Linked DNA regions of Saccharomyces cerevisiae S288C. The gene in region 2 interacts genetically with the main gene of each other region. Each region holds a gene or a part of one and is shown on either strand. Other genes may lie near its edges.

The links.
Region 1: mutations in CPR3 (region 2) and DCK1 together harm fitness less than expected from each alone (positive genetic interaction), as found in Saccharomyces cerevisiae (one large-scale study listed by BioGRID).
Region 3: mutations in CPR3 (region 2) and UBP12 together harm fitness less than expected from each alone (positive genetic interaction), as found in Saccharomyces cerevisiae (one large-scale study listed by BioGRID).

What each region holds. Positions count from the first base shown.
Region 1 is NC_001144.5:963,951-967,709, reverse strand, and holds the start of DCK1 (guanine nucleotide exchange factor DCK1), read right to left. Parts: upstream 1,814-3,759; coding exon 1-1,813. Other genes in the region: proteasome regulatory particle lid subunit RPN13, read left to right, coding at 2,150-2,620; URA4 (dihydroorotase), read right to left, coding at 2,831-3,759. UniProt on the Saccharomyces cerevisiae protein: Forms a transiant heterodimeric complex with LMO1, that acts as a guanine nucleotide exchange factor exchange factor (GEF) for the small GTPase RHO5. DCK1, LMO1 and RHO5 relocate to mitochondria upon oxidative stress and trigger cell death.
Region 2 is NC_001145.3:109,171-112,050, forward strand, and holds CPR3 (peptidylprolyl isomerase CPR3), read left to right. Parts: upstream 1-1,831; coding exon 1,832-2,380; downstream 2,381-2,880. Other genes in the region: DUS1 (tRNA dihydrouridine synthase), read left to right, coding at 1-907; CFF1 (Cff1p), read left to right, coding at 1,077-1,682; TRAPP subunit BET5, read left to right, coding at 2,695-2,880. UniProt on the Saccharomyces cerevisiae protein: PPIases accelerate the folding of proteins. It catalyzes the cis-trans isomerization of proline imidic peptide bonds in oligopeptides. This isozyme is required for growth on lactate at high temperature.
Region 3 is NC_001142.9:61,999-65,757, reverse strand, and holds the start of UBP12 (putative ubiquitin-specific protease UBP12), read right to left. Parts: upstream 1,954-3,759; coding exon 1-1,953. Other genes in the region: PHO90 (SPX domain-containing inorganic phosphate transporter), read right to left, coding at 2,269-3,759. UniProt on the Saccharomyces cerevisiae protein: Ubiquitin carboxyl-terminal hydrolase that recognizes ubiquitin chains that stabilize FZO1 and promote mitochondrial fusion. UBP12 deubiquitylates FZO1 only after oligomerization.

The DNA.
Region 1 (3,759 bases), on a different chromosome or scaffold from region 2:
AAAATTTTACGGCCTTATTCCTGCAGGATATTTGAACGGTAACATTTTCTATATTTGTATCAGCTGCAGGAAGTCCATAAAGCGACACCCTACCTAAGTTCAGATAAATTCTTTCTGCTTGGCTAAACATGGTATCATAAAAGTATGTGGGAATAGATCTTATCGGTACTAAAGATGTGGAGAGCACTTTTTCCGCCTCTTGTTTGCCTATAATTTCCTTTACAGTTACCGATAAAGAAACAGCCCTAGGGTTCACAGAAACGCCTTCAGAAGAATCTTTTATTATCTTATTTATTAACCCGCCCCAACCTAAATCCGCATCCTTTGAAGAGTTGAAGTTTTGCGAATCCGAGGAATCGGAGCTATAAAGATAAAGGTTAAACCTCTGAGCTTTATTCGCAACTGATAGGCCGTTATAAAACTTGAATACCGGAGATATGTTAATAACTCCGGCAGCTAAGCCCTTTTTTACGTGGTCAATCTTATTCTCAGTCGATGAATTAAATGGAGAAAATGGGGAATGTGAACTTGACTCTTCGGTAGATATATTGTAAGATGAAATTTCCGGAGCAGTTTCTGTTGTAATTGCTATTGTTTCCTTCAGCACTACTACTAAGTATACTTTATTTTTATGGACTATCGTTTCCAAAATATTCTTGAATAACATTGCAGGAATTTCATCTAGAGCTGATTCCATATTGGACGACTTCGTCATGGTAAAAGACTCTGTTAAAACTTCGTCTTTGGTTCTCAAGTATACACAAATAGAAAGATCTTGATATTTAGGATCTGATATAGAGGGATCCCATGCCAGATCTTTCAAGTTAACCAAAATGCTCGATCTAACTGTGCCGAATAGTCCGTTAGATGAGGACTCATCATCGGACTCTACCACAGGTACAGTAGGAAAATTATTAGTTAAACCACAAAGCATTGACGATGACACTAAAGTTCTTAATTTGTCGATCTCGTATGAGAGCAATTCGCCAGTATCAATATCCCTGGCAAAAATTCCTTCGAAACCATAAGGATCTGGGTTTCTTGGAGTAGAGTTAGCAATTAGTTTATTCTTCCTGTATGTGGAGGACAAAAATTTTGCGATTTTAGTTCTTAGGGATGTTGCTGCTCTTATCAGATTTATTTTCTCAGCCTCTGTGGTTAAATTCATAGACAATCTAAATCGTATAGTGTCCAAATCATAATAAAGTTTTATCATTTTCCTATATATAGAAAACTCGCCAATTGAATACATAGAGTAAACATGCGAGGAAATAAGAGATAATATAGGACCCATTTCGTCCTTAAAGGACCTCTTTTGGTATCTGAAAAAGGGGAACGGAGGTCTCGGTGTCTTTCTTGGTTTACCAGTTGATATATCATCAGTAGAGCTAACATATAGGCTGTCACAAAAGGAGCGGGACTCACATTCTTTACTTATCAATGGTTTAAAATCCTCAGCACTAGGTGCTTTGAAAAATGGCATTGTGCTGACGGCTTTTTCTGCTTCAAAATGAACATATTTTCTAGGAAATATCACTACTTTCGGTTTCACGTCTGGCAGTACATCATTCGCCGAGTTCATATTCGATATGAATTCTTCAGGAAAGGGTCGTAAACATTGGTACGCTCTACACCATTTCTTATCCACAGATTCTTCGAAGACGTAAACTTCTGCACCCACATAAACGTTCGCATAATTGCTGTTTTCATATACCAGCTCAGGATACCTTTGTAAGGGAAGGAAAGATTTGACTAGCACACCATATATTAGCCGATCCGTGGGCAGCCAGCGCTGTGAATCCTGTTGCGACATTGTAATAGTAATCTCCCTAAAGAAAAAAAGACCCCTGTTTTATATGACTAATCTTCGGTCCTCTATAATTTCAATTGAAGCAATAATTGACTGAGTGGTGTACAAACGGTTGCTTGAACCATTTATATTATTTTCAACTCATCAAGTCATCCCCTCCTTGATATGCGTTATTGATATATTTCAGTTAAAATTCCTCCGTATTTCGTGATATATTATTCGCGAGGTGGCGAAAGCTTTGCTACTAAATACTCTACTATGACCAGTAGATTAGGTTCTATAAGGGTGCCAGAAAACTACCTAAGTGCTGGTTGACTTATAAATTTTAAAAGAGTGTTGATGAGTATGAGTTCAACTGTAATTAAATTCAGGGCTGGTGTTTGTGAATACAACGAAGATTCACGTCTATGTACGCCAATTCCAGTTCAGGGTGAAATCGAGATCAAACCAAATGAAGAGGAAGAATTGGGATTTTGGGATTTCGAGTGGCGTCCAACGGAAAAGCCGGTCGGGAGGGAACTTGATCCTATTTCTTTGATTTTAATTCCTGGAGAGACCATGTGGGTTCCAATAAAATCCAGTAAAAGTGGCAGAATATTTGCTTTAGTTTTTTCATCCAACGAAAGGTACTTCTTTTGGCTGCAAGAGAAGAACTCAGGTAATTTGCCCTTAAATGAATTGAGTGCGAAAGATAAAGAAATTTACAATAAGATGATTGGAGTGCTGAATAATAGTAGTGAAAGTGATGAGGAAGAAAGCAATGACGAAAAGCAAAAAGCTCAAGATGTGGATGTTAGTATGCAAGATTAAATCAAGGTTGTGGCATTTTTTGATAAAAAACTGAAGAGAAAAAATATACCATATCAACGCATTTGGCTGTGAACTTCTGTAAAGAGATACGGACCATAACAATAGGCATGATGATGGCATCTATAACTTCTATTGGAAGGTAAGTTTATTTTTCCCATAAATATGTATATATGGTCTATACTCTCAAATGAGCCTACATATTGTTGCATATTAACGAGGTTCCCATCTCACCGACCAACTTAGTTTATCACCTGCTTTAAATGGGATGATGCTTATGTCTTTGCCATCGCTGATAACCTGAGGGATAACTTGTTCTTTTTTGAATAATATTGCCTTATCTGAAGAAGCCACTTCGCTATCTTTAACCTCATAAAAGGAAATTCCGAAGTCGGAAACAAAGCCCTTTAAGTTCTCCAAGGCATTTTGCTCTTCAAAAACTTGGGCGATATAAGGGATCGCAAAAGATTGTGAGTAAACTCCTGCGCAAACACCCTCGTAATTGGCCTTATTTTGTACAGGATGAGGTGCTGAATCAGATCCAAAGAAAAAATATGGTTTCCCTGATACAGCAGCTTTGACTAGAGCCTTTTTGTCATTTGGAAGTTTCGCAACAGGTTTGCAAAAATTTACCGGATTTCCGGCCCAATCATCAATTGTTAAAAATAAGTGATGAGCCGTTAATGTGGCAGCAACCTTTACGTCAGTGGCTTTCTTCACGTTCTTATTTATATCCTCGATTGTCTTTATTGCCGACTCGCTAGTGCAGTGTTCCAGAATTATTTTCAGGTTTGGGAAATCATTATGCAATTTTTTCAAGGCTGGCAAAAAGGCTTCCTCTGCATTCAATACATGAATAGGTTCTTTGTCTCCATCATGGACAGAAGGTTTTTCCCCATGCAAATTTAATACCAGGTTCTCTTCTTGCATAGCCTTGAAAATTGGGTAAAATGCGCTGAAGTCATTTGGATCCACCCCAGCAGCCGAATTTGTTGTTACTCCCGCTGGATAACACTTTACTCCACGAATGGCATGTTGTTGGGCAGCTTCATGAATTAAATCTGGAGTTAAGTCTTTTGAAAGATAAAAACTCATTAAGAAGGTAGTTTTAGGAGCTAGTTTCTGCAGTGTCTTTTTGTATT
Region 2 (2,880 bases):
TCAAGGCATAGCTAAGAAAGGTCACTATGGGTCATTTTTGATGGAAGAATGGGACCTTATACACAATTTAATCAACACCTTGCACAAAAATTTGAAAGTTCCAGTTACAGCAAAAATACGTATATTTGACGACTGTGAAAAGAGTTTGAATTACGCCAAGATGGTGCTGGATGCTGGAGCTCAATTTTTAACCGTCCATGGGAGAGTAAGAGAGCAAAAAGGACAAAAAACTGGTTTAGCTAACTGGGAAACAATCAAATACCTAAGAGATAATTTACCTAAAGAAACCGTGTTTTTTGCTAACGGGAATATCTTATATCCTGAAGATATTTCACGTTGTATGGAACATATCGGTGCTGACGCAGTGATGAGTGCTGAGGGGAACTTATACAATCCTGGTGTTTTCAATGTAGGCCAAACTAAGAACAAGGAGAAGATATTTCCACGCGTAGATAAGATTATCAGAGAGTATTTCCAGATTGTCAAAGAATGCCAGGAATCTAAAGCCTCCAAGACAGCAATGAAATCACATTTTTTTAAGATTTTAAGGCCTTTCTTGCCGCATCATACTGATATTAGGTCAACACTTGCTACTATGAATGCAAAAGCCACGTGGGAAGAATGGGAGGAACAAGTAGTGAAGCCTGTCGAAAAAGTAGTGCAAGAAATATTTGAACAGCCAGATATCGCTATTAAGGATGAAATTACTATCGGCGAAAAGCAATCATGGGGTGGTTCATATAGAACTGTTCCATACTGGAGATGTCAACCATATTTTAGGCCTGTTAACGGTATCACAGGTGATAAAAGAGTTATGCAAGGCCTCATAGATGAAAGCGTGAACAAGAAACGTAAAGCTGACGTGCCATTAGAATCTGCTGATAAAAAGAAGGACGTGAAAGCTTAAAACCTGATAAAATCCATGTATATTTCTTTGCCTTTTCTATTCTTTTCTCTAAGTATAGTTTTTATGTATGTATATTAATTCAAACAGAAAATGTTCAACTCCGTCTCCATAAGAAAACTTCTTTCAATTTGAACACTTGTATATTCAATCAGAATTCGCCATAGAGAGCATGTCAGCCAATGTACAAGAAGCTGCAAATGCAGCTATAGAGCCGGCCAGTTTCGTTAAAGTCCCAATGCCTGAGCCACCAAGTAGTTTGCAACAATTGATCAATGATTGGCAATTAATCAAGCATAGAGAAGGTGGGTATTTTAAGGAAACAGATAGGTCTCCCTACACCATGGAAGTAGAAAAACCAGTAAATGGAGGCTCAGGTAATACTGAAATGGTAACAAGAAATCAATCTACGTTGATCTATTATCTACTAACCCCCGACAGCCCAATTGGGAAATTTCATAAGAATATTAACAGGATCATACATATCTTACAAAGAGGCAAGGGTCAATACGTTCTAGTATATCCTGATGGTCAAGTGAAGTCATTTAAAGTTGGTTTTGACTATAAGAATGGAGAAGTCTCGCAATGGGTTGTCCCCGGAGGTGTGTTTAAGGCAAGTTTCCTTCTGCCAAACGAAGAATTTGACAACGGTTTCTTGATTAGTGAAGTAGTGGTACCAGGTTTTGACTTTGAGGACCATACCTTCTTGAAGGGTGAAGATGAACTGAAACATCTTGTGGGACCTGAAAAGGCAGCTGAGTTAGCTTTTTTAGCTTGAACTTTTGTACTTAGTTATTATCAAAATAACCAATAAGAATTATTTTAGTCCTTTCGCACCGCGATTATTAATAAACTCAATATTTTTTTCCTATTTAATTCCATAAAGAAACAAAAAAAAAAGCAAGCAACTACAAAGGTCTACTTACCATGTTTAAACGTTCCATCATTCAACAGTCCCGCTTATTCTCCAATTCTGCTTCTAGACTAGGTAAAAAAGTGTTCTTTGATCCTGCGGTCAATGGAACCAAAATCGGCAGAATAGAATTTGAATTATATGATAATGTGGTTCCTAAAACTGCTGAAAATTTCAGAGCCTTATGTACCGGCGAAAAGGGCTGGGGCTATAAAGGTGTCCCTTTCCACAGAATCATCCCAGACTTCATGATCCAAGGTGGTGACACTGATTTGACTAACGGTTTTGGGGGCAAATCCATTTACGGTTCCAAGTTCGCTGACGAAAATTTTGTCAAAAAGCATGACAAGGCAGGTTTGTTATCTATGGCAAATGCTGGACCAAACACTAACGGTTCTCAATTCTTCATTACCACTGTGCCTTGTCCATGGTTGGATGGAAAACACGTTGTCTTTGGTGAGGTAACCAAAGGTATGGACATTGTCAAAGCAATCGAATCATACGGTACTGCTTCTGGTAAACCAAGAGCTGAAATCGTTATCGAAGAAGCTGGTGAGTTATGAAGGCTTATATGAAGCTAAGGTCTCTCATATTTCTAGCATATAAGGTATGCGTTATCTCTATGTCTACGAATTATATCTGTTTATAGTGTTTTATTTTATATAGACTCGCTGGCTCATAAAAAATCAACCAACTTTTATTCTGGTTTGCCTCAGTCGAAATGTTGTCCTTTACTATTGACTAGTGTTGAAGAATTTCCGGATCTTATATTTTCGACAATTGAGTTCCAACATACATTACAGAAAAAATACAAAAAAAAAATACAGAACTATCGTAAGATAATCTGCTTTTGATATAAATCATAAATCAGTGGAGCATGGGGATATATTCATTTTGGATCTTTGATAGGCATTGTAACTGTATATTTGATAGAGAATGGACATTGGCGTCCAATAGCGCAAGTGGTACAATAAACTCCAAACAGAATGAAGAAGATGCAAAACTTCTGTATGGTATGATATTTTCGTTACGCTCCATTACACAAAAGCTCTCCAAAGGGTCT
Region 3 (3,759 bases), on a different chromosome or scaffold from region 2:
ATTTGTTACTGGTAATTCATAAAAAATAACGTCATCAGCAGGTTTGATCAATTCCTGCAAGGTTAAAAATTGAGCATTCGACTCTGTTGACTCATAGTTAACATAGATTTGATTACTGAAAATCTCACAGCCAAATAGTGTATTTGGATCTAGGCCCGACATTTTACCAACATAATTCTTCAAGTCCATATAAGTGGACGATTTGCTTAACTCAACTTCAAGAAGAAGTGGTGGAGAGTTCATGGGAAAAATTTTTATAGTTTTATCCCACACTGTATCAACCGGAAGCGGCAATGTAACATCATTATACGGGTCAAACGTTATAGAAACATTTTGACATTCGGGACAATATAGCGTTGATTTGTACATCCCGACAAATAAATCCGTTATAACGGAACAATTTCTCTTTAAATGCATCTCCCAAGTATCGTCTGCCAGTTTCTTGACTACATTCCAATCATTCACGTCATCACCAGGAGATAATGATGGTTTTTCTGTGTATTCTTTCTTTATTATCCTGTTCAAATCTTCATGTAAACTGTCTAACAGGAAGGCTAAAAATTCTTGAGAATCCTGTTGCATATAACCAGAAAACATCGAATTAAAGTGCCCGATAGTGGATTTGAACATTGAAGGGGGGAAAGCAGCATTTCTTTGCATTATGCTCATCCTGTTTTGAAACAACTTCTGAACCAAGTCACTAAATGCCCTAGCCACATAGCCGTGGTACCCAAGAGGATTTTCTTCATTGATTTCGTCTTCATAACCATCATAAAGGAAATAATCACGCAACTGCGGAATGTGTACCAGGCATTGCAACGCAGAATTCATGTAACATGTATTTCCCAAATTGACCAAACCAGTAGTACCTGATGCTGGTTCGAGTTTATTATAAGCAAAATAGTTTGAAGGCCAATGGTGATTCCCTTCTATAGGTTTAATTTCTATGACAAGGTCACTCGGATTTGAAGTTATCTTGTCTAAACGGTTTTCAAACATGTCTGGTATTAGTAGTTTCTTTATCGGTAGTTCGAGAAATTGAAGCGGAGTTATTTCATATGAAGAATTCAAAAAAGTACTAACATTGCTATCTGTGGCAATATCAGATCCCTCTGACACAAACCAAATTTTAAAATCCACCGCATTCACGTCTAGATGATCAGCTTTCTCAAAAAACAGATTCATACTCTTTTCAACCAAATCACGTACTAAATTCAACGCAGACATCGAGAGGTACATTATTGAATCGTCCTGGCCATGCCTCCTTTTCCTCCCGTCTTGTTTTTCGGTCAGGTAATGTAGTCTGAAAAACCATTTATTGTATTCTGTCTCTAACTCCCCTGTGGTTTGGTTGATAACCAAATTAGTTACCACTGGGTAAGAGCCACTTGTCATGCCGTAAATTTCTGATAGAAAATTGAAAACAGGCTCTGCAATAGACAGATACGGACATCTATTGTAATCCTCAAGCACAAAATTTTCAAAGTCTCTGCAAATCATGCGTGTATTAATAGGGCCTATATCTTCAGGATCGGTAACATCGGGGTCGAAAAATTTATCGTACCAAACCTTGGGGACAATACAGACTTTATCACCCTCTTTTTGCGTTTCCTTGTTTTCTTCTATTAGTCTAGCAACCACGTCTCTTTGTTGTTCTAAGACATTTCTTCCATCTTGACCATTAGTTCCAAGATTAGTTTCACTTGCAGCGTGTGGCTCAGCTATTAACTCATTAGCGCTAGCAAATGAAGAAACAGCGGAAGCATCGGATTCCGTATCCTCAATTTCACGATCTGAGACTGGGACAGACTCTTGCTTTATTTCATCCTTGTCATCTAGAACATTCATCAAGTCCACTCCCAACCGATCACATGGTGTTGTGCCATCGGTGAAATCGGGATCTTCATTATAAACCAATGAACATTCACGACTTGAAACATCTGAAGAACCCATTTTCGAATGAAGAAACCTTCGATTGAAACAACAACGTTCTGCAGGATTTTCCTCCCTTTATTTTTCCAGTAATCCCATCTTTTATCTTCATGCACTTCTTCAATACGTAATAATATTTTTCCACGAACCGACCAAATTTCAAGGAAAGTGGAAAAATTTTTAATCTTTTAGCTTATAAGAATAACGAAATATACCTGATTATAACAGGGAAGCGTACCTTTTTTTCGAACATTAGACTACACAACAGAAGTGTTGGATTAATCGAATACATATAGATTATATATACGCTGTTACATGCTATCGTAGACGTATCTCTTACGCAGAGGTTGCGTTACCCTTGACAACAGATGCCATGATACCATAACCTAGAGTAATGACACATAGGAAAGCCAAAATAGAAGCTGGAACACCTCTCGTTAAGAAAGTCATGACACTTAAATAGCGATCGCCCTTTCTATCTACTTTAGAGATGGCAGTGACATTGGGGAACCCCGAAGAAGCTAGTCCCATACCACAGGATGACAATAATGCACAACCGAAAACAAGGATAGGAGCAGCTTTGGGGTTGCCAAGCTTGTCACCAACTTCTTGCACCAAGGGAATGATGATAATAGCGGATACTGTATGCGAGACGAAAGTACCCACAACCAACATCAGGATACCGAAAATACATAGAATGGCAAAAACACCATCATTCTCAATTTTCTTTTGTAATGCTTTTGCAATGGTTGATAGCAAACCCGAGGATGAGACGGCCTTCCCCAAAGCAATACCTCCCATTGCCAAAATAACGATTGACCACGGAAAGGCATTTAAATCTTGTGTTGATAGTAATCCGGTACCAAAAAACAAAACGATGGGAATGATTGCAATTTGACCTGATGACCCAAAAGCACCTTCAATCTGGCTTTCCACACACCACAACAAAATAGTGGCCACAGTGACAGTAATGATATAATACTGCTTAACTGTGAATTTCGTCTTAATAGGCTTAAATTTTTCCAATTTGGTCTTATTCATCTTGAAAGTAGTGAACAATAAAATCCAAACCAAAAGCATGGCCAGGATACCAGATGGCAATGCAACAGCAAAGAATTGGCCCCAGCCAATACCATAGGGTTTCAAGTACGACATGGAAATGATGTTTTGAGGTGAAGAGATTGGTGAAGACATACCACCGATATTTGCAGCCAACGCTACACCTAACACCAATGCTTGCGCAAATGGGCTATCTGCATCCATGGCATCCAATAGGGGAGATAACAACGAATATGTTAGAACAGGTGCTGCGACATTGGAAATCCACATTGATAGGAAGAACACGACACACATTGCCATTAAAAGAACGTTTCTGGGTTTACAACCAGCGAAGGCCAACAACCACGAGGCAAGAACTTTGGCGATGTTATATTGTGCAAGTACTTCACCCAAAGTAAAACCTGCCAGCAGAATCATAATTGTAGAAGACCACATGGCGGCCAAAATTTCTGATGAAGCGCTTGCAGCACTCATTATAGCCCCGTCGGAGGTTTTTAGGACTTTGAAAAGGACTACAAGTAGTGGTACAAGGAATGCTGTAATGTGTAATGGGATGGCCTCACTAGCCCACAAAAAGGCGACACACTCGACAAGGGCCATGCAGCGGTGCTGAGCAGCGTCGTTGAAGGTCTTTATTCCTAACAAGAGTCCAGTGACTAGAATAATAAAGTAAATCTTGTATGCTTTCTTGGTGAAAAATAATTTCGGTAGTGCAACGTTGTTTATACTAGTGAATTTTAAGTTTATCGGTCTGGGTAGTGGCCATCT